Coturnix japonica: one gene and its partners. The protein of the gene in region 1 interacts with the protein of each later gene in a pairwise test. Links are inferred from orthologs where the notes say so. Each region holds a gene or a part of one and is shown on either strand. Other genes may lie near its edges.

Region 1 (3,500 bases):
GATTTTAAAATATGTTACTATAATAACAGATACGCAGTCACAGACTGCTAAAGAGCTGCAGCTGTTCTGGAAGCTGAATTTGAAATGCTTGTATTAATAAAATGCAGAGAGCTAGACATCAGGAATAACAAGCTATGTGCAAAATTTGAGTGCTTTTCCCTTGTTTTTTGATGCATATTTGGTCCTGTGATTGTATGTCTGAAAATTGTTCTGTATCAGTGAGACTAAATAAGTTCTGTGCTGTAAGTGATCTGAGAATAAGGAATTGCAGAGCACTGCAATGAATAGGGAAGCCACTGATTCAGTGTGGATGGGTTTGTGTCCTGTTGTATCAGTGAGCTCACATAAAAGCAAGTGCAAACTCTTTAGAAAGTGAGTGAATGTGCACAGTTATCTGGTAACACCTTATCGTGTCTGTCTGCAATACAGACAACATCTTTCTTTTGTTAAAGTGGAAACTGATGCATTGTCTGAAATTTCTGGAGTAATTATTTTTGAATGCTACAATATATTACCCTTATGAAACTGCAGAAATGCTTTACTGATTTAAGCTTTTATTTTTTCTTACCCCCTCCAGATGGTCTAGAGCACTTAATGCCTTCAGGTAATCTTTGTAAAAAGAAACTGGCAAAAAGACCTGGATACATGAGGCCAGAGGCTCAGCAACAGCTCCAGTTTCAGTCTCTGGGTGCCTGCAAGCCCTTCCTACCAGAGGAGTTCAAACATGACAAGAGGCACTGTGAGGAGCTGGAGGACTTCTCTCTCTGCAGACAGCACAAAAATAATGTTGAGTTCTTACGCTGTAGTTCAACTGCAAGTAGTGCTGTAGTTCTTGCTGATGGGTTAACAACGTTGGGCACTACTGTAAATATGTCAGGAAGTTGCAAAAATCTTTCATATTCCAAGAAGGCATGGTCAGAAAACATAGCATTGATTTACCCTGCTGAAACAACAAGCAAAGGTGTTTCTACTGCGAGTGGTACGTGCCAGATGAACCATGGAACTGAAGTGAATGAGCCCCAAAAGATACATGCCTTGGATCAGGCAGAGGTGAATAATAACTGTGAATATCAAAACAGAGAAGCTATTTCTTGTTCTGTTGGTCCACGTGATAGTTTTTGTTCAAGTTTCAGCTTCATACAGCTCTCTCTGAACTCAGCCTCTGGAGTAAGCGATGCTGAAATCAAGGCAGATCGAGTTCTGCCCATCCTTCTGCATCCCAGCAGCACCAGAGATCTTCAGGAGCCAGGAGAGACAACAAGATCTCAGGAGCACTCAGGGGCTTTGTGTTGCTTCTCTAAGCCCAGTGAGGCTTTGAAGTCTGAAAATGAGACCACAGCAAATTATAAACTTCAGGATTGTGAGACTGTCTCTCTCTCTGATACGGATGCAACACTGTCATATTCTACAGATTCCTCAGATGCGGCATCTGCTGGTTCCTCTGTTACCTCAGGCTATGAAAGTAGTTTTAGTGTCAGTGACCAAAACTGGGATGCTTTTATAAAAAGGTATGAACCAGCACTACTGGACTGCCAGCTTGGCAACTGGAGTACGTTAAAGGTTTGTAATCTCACTTCATCTTTGATTCCTCCATTTGGCCCCCAAAACATGTATATTTATAGTGTCAGTGTCTTAATTTGATGTGAGTGCAGGGATACTAATGGGTTTCACAGTACTTTTTCATAGAAGCTTTCAGTATCTGTGTAATTTAAAAATGAAGGAACCAGCATGTATTTTCTTTTTAGAAGAAGCAAAACAAGAGAAACCCAACAAAGTGATGATATTGTAGTAATTGGCTCCTATGGCTTCCTGAGACTATGACCCTCATTTCTATTTCTAATGTCATATGTTAACTTGGAATTCAGCAAGGGCTGCTTTTGCAAGAGGCTTTTTTTTTTTTTTTGTCTGCAGGTTGGAGTACGCGTAGAGCAAAACTTGAAGGTGGTAACACCTTTTTCCTTGAAGCATTGTGATTTTTAATGAAACTGAACTTTGTAATTGAAAATGTGTAAACTTAGCCAAAGATTTCTAGGGGAAAGGTTCGTGTTAGCGTAGCCTTCAAACTAATACACAATTACACTCTGCATGTGATGATAGATGGGGTTCCATTCTCTGCTCTAATTCAGGCTGGGAATTAAACATCTTTTTTTCTTCCACCTAACAAGTGTTATGGGCTGTTGATTCAGAAGCCATATTTTTTTTTAATGTGTCTGCATACCCAATATGTACTTGCTGTATATACAAGTAGCCTCATTCGCTGTATTCTTTGTGGGATGGCAGTGGGGAAACCTTAAAAAGGATCTGTTATTCTTTTTATTGTATGGTAGAATTTATTTTTCCTAATCTTTGATATTTTTGGGATGGCAGGGGAGAGGAAGCAATTATGAGCCTAGATGCAATGAGGAGCCAGACTTTGGCTCCGTTGTGTGCTCAGGAAGTGGTAATCTGTAGATTAGTATGGACACACTGGATCTCATAAATTTTAATAGTCTTAAAATTCCACTGTGTGTGAGTGGTGTTCTTGTTGAGACTCTCACTAGTGCCCTGAGCACTGTGGAGCAATGCCTGTGATGTTTGTGCCTCTCACATAGAAAGATGCACTTGATAGAGTTCTGCCCATGCTATCTGTGCTAACCCTAGAATGGAAAGCCAACTCTTGTGACAGCACAGGTGCATCTATTGAGATGCACTATTGTCTTCAGGCCTAAGGGATTAGGGTGGCTCTTCACAGCCCTTTTATCTGGGTAAGGCAGTAGGTTGAGGAACATAATTCTTTTTTGTCTGTGTCATCTGACCAAGCTTTACAACAGTCTGTGATCCCTATTTTTTGTGGATGCATGTAGGAGCCAAACTAAGTTTTCTTGCACGCTAATACAGACTTTACATGCATTTCCGTGCAGCAACTGTTTTGGCTTCAGGCCTGGAATGGCAATGTTCTCATAGCGTGCAATAGCTTGGGAAATTAATTCTCTACGAATCTGGGAATATATAACATAATAAAAGTACAAAATGATTTTCTGTCTTTTCAGTCTACTTATTTGATAGGCACAAAGAAACACTGCTATCTTTAATTTCTGTATTCATTAATTCATTGAATGGAGAATTGGGGAATTGTGCCTTCAGATGTCTTTGCCCTTAGTCCTGGGTGTTTAATTTGAAACACCTTCCTATTGCAATGATAATGAGCAACTCGCAAACTTTTCATAAGGGAACAAAGGCAACTGTAGTCAGAAAAAGGAGACAGTACCAAAGTTGTTAAAACTATGCTTCTTCTGTGCTTATTCTAATTAAGAGGGTACTCATCACCTGGTACAAGTTTAGGAGGTTCTGATCTGAAGCAGCTCTTTTGGTAGTTGGGCTCTAGATATCTTTCTAGCCTGCAAACAGAAGCACTTGATTGTCGCAGCATCAGTCACTTAGCCATGGGCATGGTTGTACTGCAGTACCCAAGCAGATTTTTAAATGACCTGCCATTGGGTGCCCATGATGGAATAAACAGT
Region 2 (4,179 bases), on another chromosome or scaffold:
CCCAGACATCTGGGCTGCAGCCTCATCCTTCCAGGGATGAGGGACACCATTATCCCATGTTTCTGCCCCACAGAACCCACTGTCCCACATCATGGGGTGGGAAGTGAGGTTGGGATCTTGGACAGAAGGTCCTTTAGGGCTGCATAGAGGTGGGATGGGGGCAGTTGTACCTGGTGCCCTAAGTCCTAAATGTCCCCTTGGACCTATCCTTAATCTTAGCCCTTCATTGGCACCCAGGGGTGCTCATCCCCTCTGGCCTTGTTCCTGCTGGCACCCACTGCAATGCTACACCAGGAGGGGACACACACAATTCCCCTACGCCACTCAGCCATGCATCATGCATGAGGCTTTATTAATACCCCTCCCAAAGTGCATCTATTATTGACGAGAGCCTGAAAGCTCTGCAAGAGCTCTGGGCTCCATAAAGCCTCCAAGCTCTGCTCCGAGTCCAGAGCTGCCAAGGGAGGAGGGAGGAAGGGATGGAGGATGCAGCTGACTGGGGACAGGATGGGGCAGGTTGTACCCCAACCTTTCAGGGTTTCTTGGGGATGGGGATGGCTGCTTGTCCCTCAGAATTGTCTCCCCACACCATCTCCCCAAAGCTGTGTTCACAAGGAAAAGAACACCATGATGGGTGGCTTTGGCACCAAGGGCTAAATTGGGGTGCTTGGGACTGGAGGAGGAATAAGGCAAGGACTGCTGTGGGGTGCTTGGGGATAGATCAGGACCAAGCCGAGGTCCAAAATGGGGTTGGGACTAGATGATCTCTGAGATCTTCCAATGCAAAGCATTGTTTGATACTGGACCATGACCCAGGCCAGGACTCTACTAAGGACCATTCTATGACCAAGGTGGGTGTCTCAGTCTCTGGATCAGGACAAAGCTGGGCACTTGGGGACCAGACCAGCACCAAGTTGGGGAGCTCAGTGTTTGGCAACCAAGCCAGGATGCTCGGGGACCAAGTCAGGCTGTTTGGGGACCAGATTATGACCAAGCTGAGAAGCAGCCTGGATCACTCAGGTTCTGGATGGGGACCAAACCTGAGGACTATCTGGGAGTTTAGGTACCAAACACGGGGGCTTAGGAACCAGAGCAGGTCCAAGTCGAAGACCAAGCTGGGATGCTCAGGGGATGTTTCAGATGAAGCCATGTTCCTTGCACCCATGGATGGGGGATGCAGTGATGCAGATGCAAACGGCCACACACGCCCATGGGATGCTGCGGGAGGGGGGGTGCTGAGGGGCGATCCCAGGCGGGTGCTGCAGAGGGCAGGGAATGGATCTGGGGGGCAGAAGAGCGGAAGAGCGGGCAGAGGGGTTGTGGGTTGGGGAATGCGGGTGCCGCATGGCAGCGAAACCCGGCTGAGAGCCCGCAGTGTTCGTGGGGAGACAGGCAGAGGGAGCTGTGCGGGAGGAAAGCAGCAGCGAGCGGCTCTCCGAGCTGCAAAGGAGGAGGAGGCGGCGGCTGCGGGCGCTCCATCCCTCCATCCTCCCGACCCTCCTTCCTCCATCCCTCATCCCTCCATCCATCCCTCCGTCCTCCTCCCGCTCCCCGTGCGGAGCTCCCCCCCCTTGAGTCCCCGCTCTCTCCTCCCAGCGGGGCCTTCAGCCTCTGCCCTCCTCCTCCTCCTCTTCCTCCCGCCCCTCTCGCCCCCCTACAGATTCTCCCCCCCCCGCTCCCTCTCTTTCCCCGGCCCCATGGAGGTGCTGCTCGCGGGGAGCCGGAGGCCTGTGGCCCCACATCTCTCCTCCCCGACAAAGCCCTGAATCGCTCCGCAGCCGCAGCCTTTGTGCACCGGGGCGGGTGGGCGCTCCCCGAGCCTCCCCCACCACCACCACCCCCTCACTTATCCTCGAGGATAAGGGAAAAGGGAAAGAGATGCTGCCCTCGCCGGAGGAGCCCGGAGAAACAGGTATGGGGCAGAGGATGCTGCGCTGGGAGGGGGTGTTTTGTCCCCAAAGCGGGGGGGGAACGCGATGGGGACAAAGCTGGGAGGAGAGGGGGGACCCGCTGGTGGGATTCGGCCATCCTTGCTCCCACCCTGCCATCACTGCAGCCCTAAGGATCCTAAGGATGGGGACCGGCATCCTCCACCCTCCTTCCACCAAGCAGGTGGAGATGGATGGTCTCTATATTTGATTTCGTTTCGAGGTGGGGAAACGGGGAAAGAAGCCAAAAAAAATAAAAAAAAAAAAATAAGGCTAAACAATGCGAAGAAAGGCTCCATGATGGATCGCAGGTAGCAGCACCCGAGCAGCCCACAGCTGTGGGGTTTTCTGCCATCAATGCTCAGCTTAGGGGGGAGGAGAGGGGGGGAGGGAAGGAGAAGAGGGGGGGGGCTGCGGTCCCATTCAGTCTTTTATCGATCATTATTTTGGGGTGGGAAGAAGGAAGGTTTGTACGGACCCACGGCCATGCCCAGGGCTGGGACCATGCGGCGTTCAGAGCTGGATGGTGGTTCAGGGCTGGAGAACGCAAAGCAAAGCGAGGCGGGTTGGGTACCCCGGGAGACGCGGGCAGCAATCCAGGCCTGGAATATCAGCACTGCACGATGCTGTGGCCCCGGCCCTAAGGCAGAAAAGCGCTTTATCATCCCACAAAAGGCTCCCGATGGAAACCAAGTTCCTGTTGGCTTTGTGCTGGGTGGGCTCCGGCTCGTCCAGGCGGGGTTAACATGCAGAGATGCATTTTGTAACGACCCTAAAATACAAACCAGGCCAGCAGACGGCTGCAGGAGCAGCCAGGCAGCTCCATTCATCCTCCCAGCACATCTCTGGTTTATTATTATTATTATCTTTATTATTATTATTGCATGGATTTCTTTCCCTTCCTGATTTTACCCTATAAGAACAAAAAATGGTTTGGAAGGGTTGTGCTGAGCCATAGATGGCTCTGAGCCACCCTGGGGATGAGCATGGGTGATAGCTCAGTGCTGGATTCCCCCCCTCAAAGCTCCATGGTTTTGGGGTATTGAGGGGTTTTAGGGTGATGGGAATTACCCTTTATGGGATATGGAAGGTGATGTTCCCACCCTGGGTCCCCTCATTGCTCTGGGGTGGGGAACCACTTACAGTATCTCTTTGGGGTAGAAATAAACTGTTTTATTTCAAGCCTGAACTCCACTGCCAGGCCAGTGGTTTCATGCATGGTGATGTCCTGAAATCATTAAACCAAATTCCTTGAGAGAGGAGGAGGTGATAGCCTGGTGCTCCCAGCTCTGTGCTGTGTTGGTGGCTCGGTTTCAGCTGGCTTCTCCCATTTCCCATGGGCTTGGTTTCCCCTTATACCATGGAGGATTTGGGAGCATGGGATAACCCCATGGAGATCATCTCTACAGCACTGCAGCATGGGGGTCCCACAGTTCTGGAGGGGGTTTTGAGAGCCAAAACCTCATGGGGAGCAGGGATCCTTCATATGGGAATGTCCCATCTCCGTATCACATCTCTGGGGAGAGTCTGGGTGTTTATGTCCAGGCAGCAAAGAGGCCAAACCTGATGAGTCTGAGTTATTCTGGGGGGGAAATGGGATGGAGGAGCATCAGCTGTGCCTGTGGCTAAGAAGGAATGGGAGAAGGACAGCCCAGCACCCATGGGGTGATGCCATCACAGCTATGAAATGGTGACATCCCCAAGGCAGTGATGAGACTTAATGGTTGTGGTGAGGGGCTGAAGAAATAACTGTGGGAGACAAATCCTGATGTGAAGCTGCACGGGCTGATGTAAAAGGACTGGGTCACCCTGTGCTGGGAGATGAGACCCATCTGGACACAGGGATGCTCCTTGGACTGGAGATCCCTGGTACCACAGAGGCTTCCTGCAGCATGAAGGACATGAAACACCTCTCAGCAGCAAGCTAAGGGCTGATGGACAGAGATTTCCCATGGGTTGTCCACCTTCCCCATGACTGTGAACCCTCCCGATGGCTGTGAGCTTTCACAAGGGTTGTGCACCTTCCAAAGAGCTTTGGATTTTTCCAAGGGTTGTGCATGTGGATCTTCCCAAGGGTTGTGGGTCTTCCCAAAGGTTGGGGACCTTCCCAGGGTCTGGGAACTTTCCCAAGGGTTGGGGACCTTCCCAAAGGTTGGGGATCTTGCCAAAGGTTATGGCTCTTCCCAAGGGTTGTGGATCTCCCTGGGGTTGTGTATGAGTGGGAGAAACACAGAAGGGATGCAAACAGGGA
Region 3 (3,500 bases), on another chromosome or scaffold:
CCTGTCACCATTACTGCCCACTGAGATGCTAAACCCTACCTCATAGCACCTCATTCAGATTCCAGCATTCAGTGTCAGCAGCCTCTTCCTTTCCTTTGCATATTTCCCCTCCTGAATCTCCCACAAGAACGGACCCATTGCACCACGTGCTTTTGTGTTTGCTGCTGCATTTTGGGATGGTAGTCATCTTTGAGATCCAAGCAGCATCTGGAGACATTGCTTGGGATTGGGATCTGTAAAGGATTGTGGAGTAGTGTTAGAATTGCCATTTATGCCCCATTTACTCAGTGTGTAACCTTACATAGCATGCATTTGTCATGGGGTTCACTTTGACACTTGAAGATGACCTTCCAGTTGACCTGCCAAGAAGATTTGAGTGCTGATTTTTACAAGGATGTGTAGTTCTCCAGCACTGAATTCTTCCTACTTACTTATGTGTCTGTGTCCCTTGACTTACACCTTTTCATTCTTCTTTTGTGTTTGCAGGACATTGAAGCCACGATGAACTCTGCTCTGAACGAGCTGCGGGAGCTGGAGCGGCAGAGCACCGTCAAGCACACACCAGATGTCGTCCTCGACACTTTGGAGCCTTTAAAAACATCCCCAGTTGTGGCCCCCACATCCGAGCCCTCCAGCCCCCTGCACACCCAGATCCTCAAGGACACTGAGCCAGCCTTCCAGCGCAGCGCCAGCACGGCAGGCGACATCCCTTGCACCTTCAGGCCAGTGAAATCAGTCAAAATGGCCACGCAGGTCAAACCCCCCGCAACGCGGCCAAAACCTACAGTTTTCCCCAAAACCAACACCACGAGCCCCAGCGTTGCCTCCTCTGCATCTCAGCAGCCTGCTGACAAGTCCTGTACTGTCTGATAAACCCGATGCTGCTCTGCGGGTACAGCCGCGTTGTTTCAGATGAAGAGACCGTGCTAAAGACGTTAGAATTCCTATTTAACTCCATCCTGAACTTGTGCTGAAGGTTTATGGTGAGCTGCTCCCTCCTGCTGGGTGCAGGCTCAGTGCTAACAGCCTCATCCTGGTGGTGTCCGTAAGGTGAAGCCCTTCGTGCCACGTGTGGGGAAATCCAATCCTGGGTCACTGTGAAGCTGAGGAGGAAAACACAACAGCACTGAGTTGGATCTTGGTTTCTCACTGACGCCTTGCTCCAAGCATTTGGCCGCTGGAGGGCATATTTGGCAGCATCATGTTTTGAGTACTGGTGTAGTGACTTTATATATTCCGTGTTTCGTTTATCGCAGGGGAACAATAGGGTAGGTTTTAGTCTATTGCATGTTTTGGTGCCACTCGTTTTTGTGGAGCTTGGACATGCCCCTTTCTTGTGCATTGTTAACGACGCTGGTGCCACTGTGGTTAAGGGTCTGTCTGGACTTCCATACCATCCTCGGGTTATGTTTGTTTGCTGCCCCATCCCTCCCTGCAGGGCTTTTATTCATCCAGCCTCGTCCTTTTATATGACACGTCATGAAAAATAGTTTCCTCTGGAACACTCTTAGGTTTTGTGGAATGATCCGTAATATGTGTATGTGCAAATATGAACAGATACGTTCCTGGGGTATAGGAGCATAACAAAGAACCCAGTTGTTGCTTATGGACAATCTGGCTGTTTTTCTCCTTGGCTCTCCCATATTTAAAAACAGCTTCATTGTTTTCCAGTGTACTTTTAGCCCATGGGCTGCGATGTGGTGTGTGGGCTCAGGAGACTGAATGTCAAAACAAGCAAACTTCTGCAATCCACCATCCTCTCATGGGGTTCCACTTCGTAACACACACATTCTTGTTTCGATCATGTATCAGGATGGATCCTTAACAAAAATCCCACTGATAAGCACTGTAAAACTTCAATCAGAAGTTCTCAAGCTCTGTATCTTTTCCCCTTTTACCCCCTCCATCATTCCTGGCTGTAAATGCTTCAGGGTGAGCTGCCTTGGGGTCTGCTCTCATAGAGCAGCACTGCGTGGGACGGTGCCATGGCAGCATGCAGCTTCTGGAGCTCCTGGTGGATGGCAGGCCTATGTAGGACTCCGGACATTGGAATGAACTCTTAGGACATGTATTTATATGGTAGGCAGCAAATGCTTCAGCTGCCAGCAGGTTGCATTGAGCTCTGATTGTGCTCTGCTGAGAATTGTCCACGGTGCAATTAACACTTATTTAATTCTTACAAAGGAAGGCACGTGTGCCACTCACAGCAATGAGGAGGAGCTCGTGGTCCTGCGGGAGGGGAGACGGACTGACCCTCACTCTGCATCATTCCCAAGCTTTTCTGGGATTTAAAAAGTAGCTGCACATCTGATGTTCTCATCGAGTAAATGCAAGCAAGGGCAGGATAAGAGAAGTTATTTTCATATCTTCCATTTTATCTTTTGGTTTGAAATCTATGTGTTTCTCACACTTGGCTTCCTTGTGACTGCAATGTCCTGATGATCAGCAATTGCAACAAGGAAAGAAACAAAACAGAACTTAACAAAGAACAGTTCCTTAAATGTACTTTTCTCTTGGATCGAAGGATGCTACTCAGAGAAGTGAAGGGGCTTTTATTGTGTCCTCATCCATCCCCACCCCTATAGAAGTCACACAGCCGTATTACACCCTGCTCCCTTATGGGCAGGATCCCCCAGCGACCAGCCAACATTGCTCTCAGGTTCTGATGGACTTCTACCACCAAGGAATCACTTGGGCTTTTGGGGAATAAGAACTGAACTCGCAATTTAATTTGCTCAGGCAGAACTTTCTGGCATTTACTTTACGTAGGGAATATTTTGCTTTAGTTTGTGTTTGGTCGCAAACGACCGATTACTCTGTGTCAAGAGCAGGATCTCTGTGAATTTTACTTTTGAACTCATTTGTAATGCCTTATTTTCTTTCTATTTTTATGCCTAGCATTGGTGTTTCTAAGAATTAAGTGTCCAGCCACACGCAGCACATCTGGAGGAGATGCTCTTTTCTGTCTTTGAGGTCTGAACGAGTGGGAATTGAGAGATAAAGACTTCAGGTTACTCTGTCTGTATATGAATAACTGTGCTTATCTCTAGCCTCCGCAGCTCTGGGACAATCCTACTGTCAAGAGGAATATGCTTAACAGGATAAACTGTATACCAAGCAACTCAACTGGAATTTTGGTGTGCACTGTGACTGACACTTAAACCTACAGCAAGCAATATGGCAGACTGGAGGACTTCTCCTCTTCTGCGTGGCCTGGGTTTATCCAGCCAGCAGGAAACGCACACAATATAGGGGGAACTGGAGAAGGAATTGGGTAGCTCAGCTCCTTCGCTCCATGAGCATCCCAGGCTGAGCATCATTTCCATTGTGGTTTATTGCCATGGGGCACTGGGGAGGTGGGGAAGGAAAACTGGAAACATCAACACCACCCTGCAGAGGCAGCGGGCATCTTGTACAGGAGATGATGGTGTGGATGAGGAAGGCACGGTGGTTTGCCTGGGGAGGTGTCACTCTTACTTCCTATCTTCGTGTTGAGAAGA
Region 4 (3,500 bases), on another chromosome or scaffold:
AAAAGAGAGACAGGCCTAGCAGGATGCTTCTATTTAGATACTGGGAAGGCTTGCTGCAAGCTGCTGATGTTTTCTCTTTTTAAAGCAATCATCTGCTCTATTAGGTTGTCTCAACTCACCTTGAGTCACACAAATTAACTGTGAAAAATTCCTCCAAAAATTTTCTCACAATAAATGGGAGATTTAATTGGGTTCAAGCTGACAAAAGGTAATTCTTCAAGAAAATTGGTTTTTTTTTCCTCCTTAGCAATTTCTTTGCCATGTGGCATTCAAACAGTTATATCTCAACATTTGGCATATGCTCCTCTCATTTACTCAAAGGAGATGTACTGTGATGGATAGAGCTTCTGAAGATGACCCTCTCTTGGGAAGTATGCTTATGTCATTAGGAGAGCGGGCTCCTTTTTTGAGAGAATCAAACATTTCCCTTTTGTACCTGTTTGTGGCAAGTTTTTCACTCCGCAAGCTCAAAAAGAAACATGTACCAGAAGAGCTAGCGTGATAGGCTAAGTTCCTCTTGCAACTTTGGGATGCTAGCGCTGTGTTCTGTGTTGGCTCCTAGAAGAGATAAACGATAAATAGCAATGATAAAATTGGCTTTCAGTACTGCAGACTATCAAACAAATTGGAAGGAAGTCTCCTCTAGCTGAGATCTTTGAAAGGAAGAATGCATTTCAAAATGGGTACAACTGCTTTTGAATTGCTTTTATTTTCACTTTAAGATTGTGGCATGGATAATTTCTGCAGCTGCTAATTTCATCAACAAACAAACAGACTGACTGAAAAATGTGGTACTCTATTCCCAGAATTTTCCTCTATGTGGAAATAAAAATAGGTCGCAAACATGAAATACAGTTTCTGACCTTAGAAACAGCAGAGCTATTACTATTCAGAAGGAGTACTCCAAGTGCAGTTGGAGCTTTGTTCTTTTCTCCTTGGAAGTAGGAGCACGTATTGTTCATCAAACAGAAGTGGATTAGCTTCATCCATAATTACTGGACTAGGATGAATAAAATTCAGTAGGTCTGTGTGTTTCATTTCACCTACTGTCCAGGCTGGCAGATGGGTTTTAAATTTGTGTATTTTCTCTGGAAACAATCCTTTCTGTTTGAAAGAAGTATTTGTTCCCACAAGCCATTTACGTTCAGCAGAAAAATGGCCATAAATGTATCTACTATCTCTGATGTAGTTTTTCTTCATGATGGCTGAGATCAATAATCCATCAGTTTCAGTTCTGTCTGATGAAATTAGGCAGACTCTGCAACAGAGTGCCTCTTTAACACCAAGGTGCTTAATGGAAGGCCTGCTCTTTGGTAATGCAGGCTAAAGGCAGATGGGGGCAGCAAGTAGGCAACGGTTGTATTGATGATGTACTCATTGCCCTCTGCTGTCTTCCTCCGTGCTACAGCACAGGCTATGCAGTGCCTACGTGGAGCTGCCTTTATCTAAAGAGGCTAATATTTTTTGGATCATAAAATAATGATGAGCTTTCACCCTGTTTTTTCTTCTTGAGTCATCAGTCACCTGTACATAAAAAATAATATATGAGGACAATTTTGAGATGTTTTTAATGTGGCTTCTGTTTTCATCCTTACAATATTTACCTGCAGTCCCTTGCAGGTTGTAATTGAAACCGTGTTTTGAAAGCCTGTCTGTAAAACCAAGGGATCATCGTAAGTCTAATACTTTGGTATTTCTGAGCAGCAGCCACTGCTTGAAATCCTTGGTATGAGATAATAGGAGTTTGAACCACTGCTTGGAACATTTTGTGAGATGGTGTTGCTATCCTCAGAGTATCTAAAAGGCTTTGCTCTTCCGTCACTGAGTTTCATGGTGGCTGTTTTGACTCTTCCAAATGCTGCCTGGAGGGATGCTGATAGAGAAGGCAGTGCTTTTTTAAGGGTACTTCAGAAGGGACAGCTTTGATTTCTCTGAATTAGCAATTCAGCCACTCACAGTGGAAGTGTGGAACACGACATTTTGTCTGCGTGTATAAACATTGGGCTGAAATACCACAGCAGTGAGAGAGAAAAAGCAGTCAGCCTAATAGGCTCTGGATCCTACTGCAGAAGCCATGAGAGCAAGAAGCATCCTGTATCATCTGCTTCCCAATTCACAGCTCAGAAAAGGAAAAAGGCAGAGAAAATAAAAGTAAAAAGAAGTTGGAGTACTGTGCTAAAATTATAAAGAGATTCATTCAGAGCTATTATCATAAGTAATGAACATCTGAGCAGATCAAACATTACGTTTTTCTTGATTGCTTGCTTCAAGATGTGGTCTATTCAAACTTCAAAAAGGGTCCTTCAGGACCTCTTCTTCTTTTCAACATCCTTATTTCTCTGTGGATATTCAGTGAGGAACTTACTAGGTCAGAATCAGTGGACTGTTAGTTACAATGATGCAGTTACGCCTATTAAATTTCAGAGAACATACGTCTTGATCAATCCAGTATCATTACTCTTGCTGACTACCCTTAGTGCTTGGGCACTCATTCTTCAGTGAGCAATGTGTAAAATTGTGACCTAACAATGCTGCAAATGGTAGCACAGTTTTATGATTTAGGGGTATACATTCAATATTATGTCTTTTGGAACCCCTCATGATGTATATGCAGAGTGTGGGAGTGGATGTAGTGAATGTGTCTGGCAAATGTTTGGTGTTGAGCAGAAAAACACAGGTAGGACAAGATGCCAGGTGTTTTACTTTGCCTCTGTTGCAGGTGGAAAGAGAAAAGGCCATTCTCCTGGCCAACCTGCAGGAATCTCAGACGCAGCTGGAGCACACCAAAGGAGCCCTGACTGAACAACATGAGCGAGTCCACAGGCTTACAGAGCACGTCAACGCCATGAGGGGTCTGCAGAGCAACAAGGAGCTGAAAGCAGAGCATGACTGTGAGAAGGGGCGAGACCCCAGTGAGGAAGCACATGACTACGAAGTGGATATCAATGGTTTGGAGATCCTAGAATGTAAATACAAAGTAGCTGTTACGGAAGTGATAGACCTTAAAGCAGAAATCAAAGCCTTAAAGGAGAAATATAATAATTCTGTGGAAAACTACACTGAAGAGAAGGCCAAGTATGAGAGCAGAATCCAGACTTATGATGAACAGGTGACAAGCCTAGAGAAGTCAACCAAGGAAAGCCAGGAAAAGATGGTGCACATGGAAAAGGAATTGCAAAGGATGACAAGCATAGCGAATGAAAACCACAATACCCTCAACACCGCCCAAGACGAGCTGGTAACGTTTAGTGAGGAGCTGGCTCAGCTCTACCATCACGTCTGCCTGTGCAACAATGAGACTCCTAACAGGGTCATGTTGGACTATTACAGGCAGAGCAGAGTTACCCGCAGTGGCAGCCTGAAAGGCCCGGATGACCCACGGGGTCTTCTTTCCCCGCGGCTTGCCAGAAGGGGAATGGCATCACCTGTAGAAGCCAGGACTCCGACTGAGCAGGTGACAAAAGAGGCCGCAGAGCCTGGCAAGGATCAAAGCCCAACGA
Region 5 (4,226 bases), on another chromosome or scaffold:
TAGAGAGAAAAGGTGATCTTTTCTCATTCAGAACCCTTTCAGCTTTTACACTTCTGAAGCAGTTCCTACAGCAATTGCACAAAGCACAGCGTGGCTGAGGGATGCACCAGATACAGAGGAACGATACAGCAACGTGTCTTAAATTACTGAAAACAAAATTAACTTAAACAAAGTTAAAAAGCTTGGCATGCAGGAGAAACCTATAACCACTACCCCTAAAAATAATAAACACCCACTACATACAATGCTAAAAATCACTAAATGCAGGAAGCAGCAGGACACTGAGCAGACTGACTCCATATGAATTCATCACTGAAAGTAACATCATTTCTGGTTCTATTTCTCTGCTGTAACAGAACTCAACAACAACCACAGCCCAACGTGAGCAGTTGTTCTCCTTCCCTGGATTCCATTATCTGCAACTCAGTCAGGGTAAAAGGTGGAATTTATAGCGGAGTTCAGAAGCTTTATGAAGGACTGCCCAAAGCTGGTCTGTAACAAATAGGCATCATTCTTTAGAATCGCTGGCTCTTTACAGGCTTTGACACCTCTGGTATTTTTCCCCCTCGCTTTCAAATAATGCACATGTATTGCTTTATACACAGAGAGTCCTGAAAAAAAAAAAGCCTGGCAAGTGCTAAAGCACAGCACTGTGTGACAGGCAGCTGCCCAGATTTTCTGTCTGAGCAGAGCAAGAAATTGTAAGAACAAAACTGGTGCCACGCTGACAGACATGTGGGAAAGGAGCTGTGGTTTGAATTCTCCTGAGCACATACCTGCAGCAGTGTTCTACTGCAGCTGTGGGAAAAACAACATGCAAGGAAGATCAATCAGCAGCAGCCTTCTTCTTCTCACGTATCACATGCTCTGCCTGCATAACCCTATGTTTGATCTTCACCCACCACTCCTTCAAGGAAACTGCTACAGCCTCGCCTTCCCCGTGCAGAACATTCTCAAAGGCAATGAGAAGCAGTTTGCACTCAGAACGAAGCAATAAAACCATTGAAATACTGCATGTGAAAATAAAGACTCTGGATGACTAAAGGGAGCAAATGATATACAAGTAGCAACTACAATGCTACACCTTCTGAGCATTTTAAAGGCCTCGGACAGCCACAGAGGTTCCCACAAAGCTCAAGAGAAGGACACGACCAGGAGGTAGCACTGCCTCACATCCAGCCCCACTGCCCCGTGGGCACAGAGAAGCTCAGACTGCAGGGGAATCATTGCCCATTTCATGCAAAACCAGGAATCAAACAACACACAGGGGTTCAGCTAATGCAATGTTTGTTAACACTCCTTAGCTGAGTCATAATTTTGCTTTTACCCTTAATTTGAACTCAGATGAGAGAACTCTAGGCTCCTGTACCGAGCAGATCCTCCAGTTCCAGAAACAAAGTGCAGGCCCTGGGAAAGGCGGCACAGAGAAGAAACACAGCTGCTGCCTCGGGCAGCCCAGCCCAGAGCGGTGTGTGGGGAGCTGCCCAGGAGTGCCCTATGCACACCCTGCTGGGACAGGCAGGCAGAGCACAGGGCAGGGGCACCCAGCCAAAAGGCAACGCTCCATGACCCTCTGCAACCCACTCATCACAACCGATGTGAACACAGCGCTTCACTCACCAGTCACACACGGCACTTTAAGAACATGCTGTGAGAAGTGAAGAAAAAACACAAGTCGCATGCAACACATGCAGCTAAAAGCTGCCCGCCCTCGGTGCTGGAAAGGGAAGGAAAGCCCAATGCCAGGCTCCATTTGTTAACGTGCTTTCTGTGTACACAGAACGAAGTCTGCTCAGGTCCTTGACCTTTCTACACTCAGTAGCAGCCTTCAGAAGTAAAAGCACAGTGTTTGTGATGTGCCCGCTGCTGCCAGGCGTTATTTTAAAACAAAGTAGACAAGAACATCACCAATCGCACCAACACTTAACAAACCCAGCAGCAGTTGTTGGGGATCACAGCCCCAGCTGCACGCAGCATCACAGCCGTGCATTACTCGGTGCCCAGTTTGTGTCTTAGCAATAAATGCAATTCCTCCTTTCTCTCCCAAACTTCTCTCCCGTCGCTCTCTCCTCCCGAGCAGAACCGCGCAGAGGAAACCCACACACGGTATTTCCACCCGTTCCACTCCCGCTCCATCACTGTCAAAACGGATTTTTAACCCGACTGCAGCCGGTCCGTTTATTTACACTTCGATTCGCCCCAACCCGACGCGGCCCTCGGCGCTGCCCCGCCGGGCTCCGGCACGTACTTGCCAATAGGAAGGGAAAACCCGAACGAAACGCCGCCGCTGCGGCACACGGGGCAGAAAGGGGCTCCGGAGAGCACGGAGAGCACGGAGCGCCGCGGATCGGGACCCGCCAAACGCCGCGGATCGGGGACGACGGACGCACGGAGCGGCCCCGGAACAGCGCGGGGAGCGGGGAGAGACGCGGCCTCCCCCGGCCCGGGCCCGGCTGTGGGCAGCGCCCGGCGGGTGGGCTCCGCTCCGGGACAGCGCACGCGGGGGATGGAAACACCGCAGCGGCAGAAGCGGAGGAGAGGGCGGGCCGCAGGAGGCCTCCGCTGCTCTCCCACCGGCGGGAGGCGAGGAACCGCGGGGCGGCACCGCGCGCGGCCCGGTACCGGGGAGGGGGCGAGGGCCGGCGGCGGTGGAGCGGCCCGAGGGAGGGGGCGCGGGAGCCCGGCCGGCAGCGCGACCCCACCTACCCCGGCCGCCGCCGCCGCCGCCTCCCGGTGCCGGGCCTGGGCCGCCGCTGCCGCCCACCACGTGACCGGGCGGAGGGGGCGGGCGCCCCGTGAGGCGCTTCCGGGTGCGGGGCGGAGGGCGCGGGATGCGCTTCCGGCGGCCGAACAATGCGGTTCCGAGTCGCCGTCGCGGGCGCTGGCGGCAGCCGTAGGTCCCGGCGGGCGCGCGGGGCGCGGGGCGCGGCCCCGGAGCGGGGCCCGGAGCGGGGAGCGGCTCCCGCCCCCCCCGCCGCCGCCGCCTCCGCCGCGGGCCGACTCCGGAGGGCGGCCGGGCCCGGCCGAGAGCGCGGTGGGGCGCGGGGCCGCCCGGGGGGCGCGGCCGACGGCAGGGCCGGGGCGGCGCGGTGCCAGCCCCGGGCGGCGGCTCACGGCGGCTCTCCTCCCCTCTCTAGGTCCGTAGCCGGGGGTAGCGGCAGCGGGTGCCGGCGGGGTGACGCGGCCCGGCGCTCCAGGTAACGCGGCCCTTCCCTCCGTGCGCGGCGGCGTGGGTCGGGGGGCGGCGGGCAGCACCGCAACACGAGCGGCCGGGGCCGTTCCGGGGCCGTTCCGCAGGCGATAAAGCGGCTCCGCTCTGCTCGGGCGCAGCTCCGGCTCGGGCTGCGAAAGGTGCAGCGTTTGTTGCTTGGCTTCTTGGCGTCCTTAGAGCCCGACAGCGGGAGCTTAACGCGCGTGAAGGCAGTTGCTCGTTTTCTGTGCGCATTCTCTTACGATGCGGCTCTCGTTGCCCCGGAGGTGAAGTGTGTCAGGCAGCGCTGGACTCGGGGCCACTCGGACACGTGTGGCTGCACGGTCCGTAGGCATAACACAGTCGGTTGTGCTTCTGGTGCTGCCGCCCTCTCTGAGCGTTGGTCCGTAGTTAAGCGAACTATTGAAATCCTGTTGTGATTTCTGTACATCACACGCTGGTAGATGTGTGTGGTGCGCTTAAGTAGTAAAGAGAGCACGTCTCAACACGACATTGTATCAGAACATTGAAACAACTCAGTCTGTCAGCAGATAGTTCTGAAAATGTTCCTCTTGGAACCATCATCTTGTGCATTCAGTCATTTACAGGAGGCACAGCTCCATTTCCTCTTGTGTGTGTTGAGCTAATATTTCATGTCCCAAGAGAGCAGTATCTGCTTTTATCTATAAACTTCAAAGTTTCCTTTCCAGCTTAATGTGGTGTTGGTAATACTTGTGAGGTGTAAGTCTGGGGTTGTTTTGCTGTTGCATCTCACCAAACCTTGTGTCATTTGGTCGATCTTCTGTGATTCTTTTGCTTCCTGCAGTCACAATTCTCTGTCAGGATTGCATGAAGTTTCATCAAGAATCAGTGTAGCCTTATAAACTCTTCAGAGAACTGTTGCCAGACAACACATCAATATTTGTCTTGTAGAAAACCCACCGTTTTTCATTCCAAATAGAACAAAATTCCTCGAGGAGTGGTCTTTCAAAGAATGCAAGAAACAAGACTTCCTACATTCCCCACATACTCAAAT
Region 6 (4,295 bases), on another chromosome or scaffold:
ACTCAGCAGAAAGTCAGTTTCTCACTGTACAACAGAACAAATTGAAAAGACTCAGAGAAAACAGTGGTGACATCCAACTGCTACTGTATCTTAAAGGAAACAATGCACATGCTGAGGAGTCCAACCTCCCAGCTCCCTTCAGATGCTCTCTGGTCTTCACAATAATATTGCTCGAGGATGTGGAACAAGCACTGGAGTCAGAACAGCAGGCTCACCTCTAACCTCTGTGACTGGTCTTTTCCTAGCAGGTCCCGCACTTCTTCATTGTAAATTTCCAGGTAAGACACACGAACTAAAAACCTGAAGGCAAACAGTTGTGAAGCTTTCTTAATAAGGTATTTGTAAATATAAGTCTAGGAGACATAAAATGCAAAGAAAAAGCACCCATATATAAATACATTCCAGCCACCCCATCAAGAATGGCCAAGGTCATTGCTGAGGTCAGACTTCTTCTACAGATGTACAAACAAAAGACAGGAGCAGTAAAGGGAAGCTGTTTACCTCGTATCCCCCTCTGCTTTGGCAATGTGACCAAATATATGGGCGAAGGAATTTGGAATGATGCCTCTAAGCTCAGGAACTGCTCTGACCCCTTCCATGGTAAAAGTTTTGCCTGTTCCAGTCTGCCCATATGCAAAAATGGTGCCTGAAGAACAAGAACATATTAATGAACACCACGAAGTTGCTATAACTGCAATTTTACCTCATCAATCCTAAGCCTGATAGCACTGAACACATTTTTATGAACTTGAAACTTTTCACCCCCTACAGTATGTAATATTCAATGCTATGAGAAACAGAAATGCTGGACAACCATAGCAAAAAATGTTCAAGCCACTGCTTTATCCAGCCTGCAAAATATTTAAGAAAAAGTCAGCTTGTTTTAGCTTTATAAAGCAATTAAAGGATTGAGAACCGGTACACTTAGGGCTCACACGCAAATAATTAAAATCAGACTAATTAATAGCATTGTCAATTAGAGAAATATCATTACAAACCAACCACAAAACCAACGACTGCTAGCACTTTAAGCCACAGCAGAAACATGAGGCTCCTACAACGCAGGACACAGTACAAGTGTCCAGTTCTGAGCCTGCAAATGCAGCCACAATTTGGACTAGACAACCATCCCCAAGGGAACCAGTGAGAAAGTTTACTGAAATCTCAGCTCAGACATTCCAGAAACACACAGGTTAACTAATTTTTTCCCCAGCACAAATTAAGCTCAACTCAAATTAAGCTTTTGCTTTCATTGCTAAGTCACTGGTATTACTATTGAGAGGAATTTTAATCAGCTGAAGATGGGTGTGTTAGCACAAAAGCTTATTAAGTATTTTGCAAACCTTTAAAAACCTTCTTAATCTGGCACTTACAGCACGGATGAAAAGCAGTTACAGAAAGCAGTAATTTGTTACCTTACTGGTGTATTCTTTCTTCTACATGTAGTATTTACATGCATAACAAACACAAACCACAGACATATTCTTCCCAGCTGCAGGAAGCAACCAATTATCTGCCAGGCAGGGCTGATGTGGGTAACTAGTCATCTTAGTTTGGAACAGCAAGTTTTAGAGATGAAAATGCAGCACTTAGACGCACAAGAAGAACACTCATACCTAGATACTGCAGGACCATGGCAGCTGCTGCGTTACTGAAACTGCATAGCGAAGAGTCGCTGAGAATTCTGATAATGAAATAAAGCTTTTTTTCTTTTGCAGACAGAAGACAGAGAATGAAAACACACAGCTCACCAACCTCAGCCAAGACTGCTCACTACTATCTCCCACTGTTAGCAATCTCAGCACGTACCAACACGGTGGGTACTTAGTAAGGAGTAACTTTTGGTTGCTGTAGGTCAGAGGCCAGAATAGAAACAACAGAGAGATGTGGCCCTAGTAAGAGAAGGCTCCCTGCTGATCATCAGGGACACCAACAACACAAGGAACACAGATGGGAACACTGAAATAAACCAGGAATTTACCATTGTAGCCTTCTAGGACGGAGTCAATAATAGGTCTCGCAGTCAGGTTATAGACATCCAGTTGCTTACTCTCTGGTCCAAAAACAGTGTCAAATGTAAATGACTTGGGAGGTTCATTGGACGAGTCTGTTTTGTGGACGGTGATAGTTCCTCTCATCTCATCCACACTAACTGCCATTTTGTACCCCGTCGCTTTCTCTCGCTCATTAAGGGGCCGACATCGAACAACCACCTTGACATTATCACAGCTCTCTGGCCTGTCCGGCTTCTCAGGCTTGTTGATCTGCAATTATGAAAAGGCAAAACACTCACAAGCTGCGGCATCACTGTCACAAGCCCATGTGCTTAAGCTGTCCATGCATACTTCTCAGCAGAATCATAAAAGCCACGCTTAGACAAGAACTGCTATATAATTAAAGCTAAGGGAATACAGCTAAGGGAATACCCTGCACTTAATCAGTCAGAGCAATCTTCTGTTTGCAAATGTGGAAACCAATCAAGTAAAACCTGCAAATTTCATTCATCTGTGAAATTCTTCAGCAAACAGCTTTGTGCCTGCAAACAGCTTGCTGCAAGCTGAGGCTTTTGTGCCACTCCTTTAAATTCATAGAGCTCGCTGTCTGAATAGCGAGCACAAGGAAACAGCCTCAGAGCTCACCGATGACATCAGCAGATCGCAGCGAGCTGAAGGGAATTCAAACAGGCTCCAGTGCGTTCGCTGAACGTTCACCACTTTGAGAACTCCAAGGTCGGCTCACAGGACTTCACGTCACCTTTCTCTCCCAGGTACAGACGTGGATTTTGACACTAAACTAACTGACAACGCTGTCAATGCTCCACCTGACAGCGGCGCTCCGAGGTGCCGCCCCACGGGCTGATGCCGTGGATCAGCTGCTTCTAAACCCGCCCCTCGGGTACCAGCACGGCACACACCGCCCGCAGCTCCTGACACCGACCCGCAGCGCCGTCAGCACAGGGAGCGCCAAGATGCTCCCAGGGTTGGGGCACACGGCGCACTGCGGTGACACGGAGCATCGCGCCGTCATCCTCAGGCCCCAGCCGGGCCTGCGCAGCCCCTCACATCCCTACGGGCCGCGGCTGCCGTCAGTGAGAGTCCAAGAGGGAGGGGAGCGGCCTGTAGCGGCCTGTATCACCCCCATCCCCATCCCGCCCCACTCCCCCGTGTCCCGGCCGTACTCACGGGCATGGCAGCCCCTCACACACACACACACGGATCAGCGCCGCTCTCAAGAGCCGCACAACGGCACAATAACAGCACCGCGCCTGCGCCCGCCCCCCGCCGCCACGGGCCGCGGCCAATCCCCGCGCGCTGCGGAGGCCGCGCAGCCAATGGCTCGCAAGGAAAGGAGGAGCACGGCCCGCCCCCTGCAGCCGCGGGGGTAGGGCGGCAGCCAATGGGGTGGGCGGAAAGGGGGAGGTGGGAGGGGCGAGGCCGGGGCTGGGCGTCGCCATGGGAACCGCGGGGATGCGGCCTGGACGGCTCCAACGCCCCGACGTGTGGCCGGGTCGGAACCGCGGAACCACGAGCCCCGGGAGCAGCATGTGGCGCTGCGGGGGGGCCATGGACACGGTGCCGGGACGGGCCCGGCGCGCTCCCTCCCGTTACGCGGTACCGGCCGCCCCGCAGCTCCGTGGGCCGGGCCGTGCTGTGCGCAGCCGCGGAGGCTGAGGGCGGTGCGGCCCCGCCCGGCCGAGTCCCGCGGAGCTGCCGCCTCTCCCCGCCCTGTGCCCGGCCACAACAGGGACGGACCGCGGCGGGGCACAGCGGGACCGGTAAGGACGGGGGGGTACTGCGGGAAACGAGGGGCAGTGTAGTTCCATGGGACGGTGGCGGTGAAGTTGTAGGGGAGCCTTGAATGAACGATTTCCCCTCCAGATACAAAAAGAGAAACATTTTCAGACCCGCTCGGATAAACCTCACCCGGTTTATTATCATCCCTTTGCTGCAGCGGTCCGGGCTGTCGGGCTCGGCTGCTCTGTGAGATGCGGTCGGAGCCGTGTGTGCTTCCCTGTGTGCAGTGAAACGCTCGATCTGCAGCTTTAGAAACCAGCAACAGTTTCCAGAGGATTCCCGCAGTTTAGGGCGATTGATGGCACAGAGACCTCATCCAATAAAGCACAAGTTCTAGATCGGACAGCTTTGTTTTCCGCTGTTCAAGAGACACTCAAATAGAAGTATTGAAATACTTCTTCTCAGGTTCTTGCTGCCCTTTAGATAGGAACATTCAGATACCTGTATTTCACACATACACACATAGTCCGGAGAGTGCTGTATCTATAGTGATGCTGTTGC
Region 7 (4,275 bases), on another chromosome or scaffold:
CTCGTGAAAGATAGGTTTGCTGAGCTTAACATGCATTCCATCCCTTCATGGCAGCTCAGATATGCCCAACAGCTTGAGGAGCCCTGTGACAACCAAGGAACATCCTAGAATGTGATGTTAAATGTTCCAGATCCCCACATATCAGAAGTAACCCCACACACAGGAAGAAACTTTCAGTCTTTTCACTCTGGGGGTAGAAATATTGTGGCTTACATGCCACATACATACACACTGCTGGGAGAGCAGGCCATGCATTCTGGGGACTCAGAAATGGACCAGTTAAGAAAGCAGTTTTTAACACTTTCACTGTAGCCCAGGATTTCATACTGGACTGGGGATCAGATTAACTCAGATAGAAGAAATCTGTTCCCAAGGACTGAAGAATTTCACTGGGTGCATTCACCTCTGGGCTGCAGGCCAGCTCACACAGCAAGAACACAACTGTAATAGGAGGAATGGCCCAATGAGCTCCTACAGGTGACTGCAAGGGGACTTAAGGCAGCTTAAAGGAACATCCTCTAAAGACCTTTGGCAAAAGCTCCACACAACTCAGCTGGGACCCAGCAGGCAGGAGTGGGGCACAGGTGGATGGAAGGGAAAACAAGCATACAGGTCAATCACAACCTCTTGCTGTGGTTATGCAATAGGTGAGTCTTTGGTGAGGGAAGGAATGTCAACCTCTCTGTTTGCTACCCAAAAACCACAAGTAGCTGGAGCCTGCTGTGAGCACCATGCAGAGATGCAGGAAGCCATGCTGCTGTGCTGGCATGCACAGAGGCTGCAGTGGCAGGCACCTGCTCACTGCAGAGAATGTGCAAGCTGTGCAGGAGGCTTGGTCTGAAAGTCTATGACGATTAAGTAACTTGAACATCTTCAGAGATTGTCTCCATTTTCTTTACTCATGTCTCTCTATCAGTGCCTAAGAAAACAAAAATCCCCTTCCCAATCCTCTACCCATTTATTTCTAATTTTTAAGGACAGACTGGGATCTTGTAACTTCAGTGCTACCAAATTCTAGGGCAAGGTGGATAAGCTCAGTGTTCCCTGAATGTCAGTGCTAAGCAGTACTTCATTCTGACTAGTTTGTTTAACAACTCACTTCACAGACATGTCCACAAACAGATTATAGATGACAGAAGCAAATAGCATGCAAATACTTTTTACTTATCCATGCTCTTACTCTATTTACACCTCAGTAGCCACCAAAAGCCCTAAGAAACATCACGGTCCTGTGCCAAAACACAATAAGGTACAGTCTCTGCCCTGTGATGTTTTGTCATCTAAACAGGAAGGCTGCCTCCAAGAAAGGCAACGTGATTTGACAAAGGCCACACAGCAACACTGTGACCAAGCCAAGAGCTGAATCAAAATCTGCTGCTTTCAGGTGTAAAGATCTCAACCTGAGTCTCCCGTTTACACCTCAGCACAACAGGTTCTTAGCACACCAGATGAGTAACAACCCAGCTGCCCCCAGGTAGTGTTTTAAAATCCAGAACACAAGAAACAAATAAAGATAATAAGTCACCATTCTCTCTACCATCAAATTGATAACTTGACCACAGTGCTTTCAATGGGATTAGATTATACCTCAGATTTATTTCCAAGACAAAATTTGTATTCTTTTTCTGCAGTTTGCAAGCTTTACTGTACTGTGATCATTTCTGCATCCTCTGTAAGAAGTTCCTGTAACATTCTACAACACCACAGCTGATCTCTGTTCAGAAAAACACAGAGGTAAAGGAGCAATGAGGACACAACTTTCTTTCTAGACCTGTGCTTTGACCCCAGGAGCCAGAAAGTCTCATTTGAACAGGCAAGGAATGACAAGGCTTTGCCTTTTAATAAAGCCCCTTGCTGACAAGCCAAGATTTTCCTAAGCTATTTTCTCTGAGATCTTTGGTTATCATTCACTCTGGTCTTCCTATAAATTTCTGCAGGTGGTCTTTCCTTCCATAGCCGTAACTGTAACCTGCGTGAAGCTAACACAGCTTATTATTATTTAATCATTTCAGTGGTTAAAACCAAACAGAGTTCAATTAACGGTGCAGGGTACGGTCTCATTCCCCTCCCTACCCTTCCAGAGGTACCACACCACCCCATTACCTGCCCACGCTGCTCCCCACGTCTGGACTCCTCTTGCTTCCCCTCACACCAAGCACCATTCAGCAACTTGCCCGGCCTTAGAAATGTCCCTGAGAAAGCAAAGGGCAGAAGTGAAACGCAGCACAACCTTCACCCCCCATAAAACGTTCTTATATGCCAGCACAAGGCTCAAAACGCCTTCGGGCTGTAATTCAGTGCCGAGGCGGCCGGGCCTGCTGGGCCTTGTGATTAAATCCTGTGTATTTTTACACCGATTTGTTTCTGCAGCCGCTCTGACAGCGTTCAGCGTTTTACAGAAGGGAACGCTAAGGCCGAACAGCAGCAACAACACAGCAGCGCTGCAGGGAGATGGAAGCAGCAGAACCCTCAAGGTGCCCGTGTGGTACACGATCTATACACCACACATCAGTCAGCCCCCAGGGAACAGGCAGAGACACGGGACCGGAGCCGGCCTCCACAGGCCGTGGCTGACAGACAGAAGCCGGCGAAGCGGCTGAGGGGGCCGCCCCGTGCTCCGTCCCGCCCAGGCCCCTCCTGCCGCCCACCGCCCCGCTCGGGCCGGGCCTGACCACCCCCCATCACCCACCCATCGCCTCCCCATGGCCCTCACCTGCCGCCGGCCCCACCACCACGTCAGAGCCCACGTGCACCACCGCCGGCCGCCGCCGATGACGTGACGGAGCAGCGCCGGGTCACGGCACGACGGAACGGGGGGGCGGCTCCATCACAGAGGAGCTGCTTCCTGCGGGGTTATGGAACCTGAAAGAACGGCTACATGGGGGTCAGGAAGCATTTTGTAGGCATCTGATGAAGCCGGTGACAAGTCCACTGCAGCAGGAAGCACCCAGCCCGTTTGGCAGGTGGAAGATGTATAAAAATATTGTGGTATTACTGCATTTTCTGCCCTGTGGTGCAGACCAAGACAGCAAGAAGACCTAAACCCTCGAGTTCCCAGTGCCAGGGCCCTTATTTCACCCACAGAATCACAGAATTATCGAGGTTGGAAAAGACCTAGAAGATCATCTAGTCCAACCATTACCAATACTTCCTGGCTAAATCATATTCCTCAGCACCACATCCAAGCGTTTCTTGAACACTCCCATGGTCGGTGACTCCACCACCTCCCTGGGCAGTGCATTCCAATGCCTGACTACTCTTTCCGGAAACTAATACTTCCTAATGTCCAGCCTGAATCTCCCCTGACACAGCTTAAAACCATTCCCTCTAGTTCTATCACTGATTACACGAGAGAAGAGGCCAACCCCCAGCTCACTACAACCCCCCTTCAGGAAGTTATAGAGAGCTATAAGGTCTCCCCTGAGCCTCCTCTTCTCCAGGCTGAACAATCCTAGCTCCCTCAGCCGCTCCTCGTAAGGCCTGTGCTCCAAACCCCTCACCAGCTTCACCCAGCAGACCTAGAGAGCTCCAGGCTCCTAAGTCCAAGTTAATGCCCCAGCTTTACTTCATCTGGTCCAGAGATGCCCTCATCAGGCAGGGAAAACCACTGGATGTTCAGCATCATGGTTCAACCAGTGTCCCGACCCAGCAGGACCAGTGTCAGGCCTGTGGGTGAGCACAGTGAGGGCTCAGGGTGCTGAGATGCAGCCCTATGGATGCTGATGGATCTTTAGGCTGAAAGAGCCAGCAGAGGACTCTTGGCAGCACTGCTCGTTTCACTTGAATAGTAAATGACTGGTAAGTTAAATAAGAGAAAGTGAAATGAGCTTTCCTGTTAAGCCCAAATGCTTATTTCCTGGATGTTCTGGGTCTCTGGGAAGCTTCTAATGAGCTTTCCAGTGTAGATAATGTAAAATATTTTAATAATTCATTTATCGAGCAGTAATGTGAATGATATATAATCTGAAATGATTGAAGAGATGAAACTGGCTTTTCTAAGCAGTTGCTGAATCTCAGTTAAATGATGCAACTTCTGTTACAAAGGTGTTTTATGAAAACTGTTCAAAATCACAGCATCACAGAATTGTAGGAGTTGGAAGGGACCTCCAGAGATCATCGAGCTCCTAACTAAATTGTCCTAATTGAGCTATCTTTTATGTTCTTACAATGCTATATTCTATCAGATTGCATATGAGAAGGAGAGAGAGAGGGCAGTCTGGCAAATAGCAACCAAAACTGCCTGAGACCAATTGCCATGTGACAGAGCCATTAACT

Evidence for each region.
Region 2: the proteins of DISC1 (region 1) and FBXO41 interact in a two-hybrid assay, tested with the Homo sapiens proteins (2 studies listed by BioGRID and IntAct). The link is inferred for Coturnix japonica from reciprocal best matches to the Homo sapiens genes DISC1 and FBXO41.
Region 3: the proteins of DISC1 (region 1) and SRGAP2 interact in a two-hybrid assay, tested with the Homo sapiens proteins (2 studies listed by BioGRID and IntAct). The link is inferred for Coturnix japonica from reciprocal best matches to the Homo sapiens genes DISC1 and SRGAP2.
Region 4: the proteins of DISC1 (region 1) and BICD1 interact in a two-hybrid assay, tested with the Homo sapiens proteins (2 studies listed by BioGRID and IntAct). The link is inferred for Coturnix japonica from reciprocal best matches to the Homo sapiens genes DISC1 and BICD1.
Region 5: the proteins of DISC1 (region 1) and RABGAP1 interact in a two-hybrid assay, tested with the Homo sapiens proteins (2 studies listed by BioGRID and IntAct). The link is inferred for Coturnix japonica from reciprocal best matches to the Homo sapiens genes DISC1 and RABGAP1.
Region 6: the proteins of DISC1 (region 1) and KIF3A interact in binary tests that used the Homo sapiens proteins (3 or more experiments, as listed by UniProt). The link is inferred for Coturnix japonica from reciprocal best matches to the Homo sapiens genes DISC1 and KIF3A.
Region 7: the proteins of DISC1 (region 1) and XPNPEP1 interact in a two-hybrid assay, tested with the Homo sapiens proteins (2 studies listed by BioGRID and IntAct). The link is inferred for Coturnix japonica from reciprocal best matches to the Homo sapiens genes DISC1 and XPNPEP1.

The regions. Positions count from the first base shown.
Region 1 is NC_029518.1:35,635,106-35,638,605, reverse strand, and holds part of DISC1 (disrupted in schizophrenia 1 protein), read left to right. Parts: intron 1-577; coding exon 578-1,560; intron 1,561-3,500. UniProt on the Homo sapiens protein: Involved in the regulation of multiple aspects of embryonic and adult neurogenesis. Required for neural progenitor proliferation in the ventrical/subventrical zone during embryonic brain development and in the adult dentate gyrus of the hippocampus.
Region 2 is NC_029519.1:81,245,492-81,249,670, forward strand, and holds the start of FBXO41 (F-box only protein 41), read left to right. Parts: upstream 1-1,379; 5' UTR 1,380-1,912; intron 1,913-4,179. UniProt on the Homo sapiens protein: Substrate-recognition component of the SCF (SKP1-CUL1-F-box protein)-type E3 ubiquitin ligase complex.
Region 3 is NC_029541.1:2,718,039-2,721,538, forward strand, and holds part of SRGAP2 (SLIT-ROBO Rho GTPase-activating protein 2), read left to right. Parts: intron 1-486; coding exon 487-870; 3' UTR 871-3,500. UniProt on the Homo sapiens protein: Postsynaptic RAC1 GTPase activating protein (GAP) that plays a key role in neuronal morphogenesis and migration mainly during development of the cerebral cortex. Regulates excitatory and inhibitory synapse maturation and density in cortical pyramidal neurons.
Region 4 is NC_029516.1:53,354,492-53,357,991, forward strand, and holds part of BICD1 (protein bicaudal D homolog 1), read left to right. Parts: intron 1-2,719; coding exon 2,720-3,500. UniProt on the Homo sapiens protein: Regulates coat complex coatomer protein I (COPI)-independent Golgi-endoplasmic reticulum transport by recruiting the dynein-dynactin motor complex.
Region 5 is NC_029532.1:7,280,013-7,284,238, reverse strand, and holds the start of RABGAP1 (rab GTPase-activating protein 1), read right to left. Parts: upstream 2,801-4,226; 5' UTR 2,707-2,800; intron 2,377-2,706; exon of another isoform or gene 2,249-2,376; intron 1-2,248. Other genes in the region: ZBTB26 (zinc finger and BTB domain-containing protein 26), read left to right, coding at 2,832-2,893, 3,138-3,197. UniProt on the Homo sapiens protein: May act as a GTPase-activating protein of RAB6A. May play a role in microtubule nucleation by centrosome. May participate in a RAB6A-mediated pathway involved in the metaphase-anaphase transition.
Region 6 is NC_029528.1:1,213,919-1,218,213, reverse strand, and holds the start of KIF3A (kinesin-like protein KIF3A), read right to left. Parts: upstream 2,801-4,295; 5' UTR 2,649-2,800; coding exon 2,640-2,648; intron 2,265-2,639; coding exon 1,982-2,264; intron 647-1,981; coding exon 502-646; intron 301-501; coding exon 216-300; intron 1-215. UniProt on the Homo sapiens protein: Microtubule-based anterograde translocator for membranous organelles. Plus end-directed microtubule sliding activity in vitro. Plays a role in primary cilia formation. Plays a role in centriole cohesion and subdistal appendage organization and function.
Region 7 is NC_029521.1:22,662,548-22,666,822, forward strand, and holds the start of XPNPEP1 (xaa-Pro aminopeptidase 1), read right to left. Parts: upstream 2,801-4,275; 5' UTR 2,714-2,800; intron 2,193-2,713; 5' UTR 2,163-2,192; coding exon 2,104-2,162; intron 1-2,103. UniProt on the Homo sapiens protein: Metalloaminopeptidase that catalyzes the removal of a penultimate prolyl residue from the N-termini of peptides, such as Arg-Pro-Pro. Contributes to the degradation of bradykinin.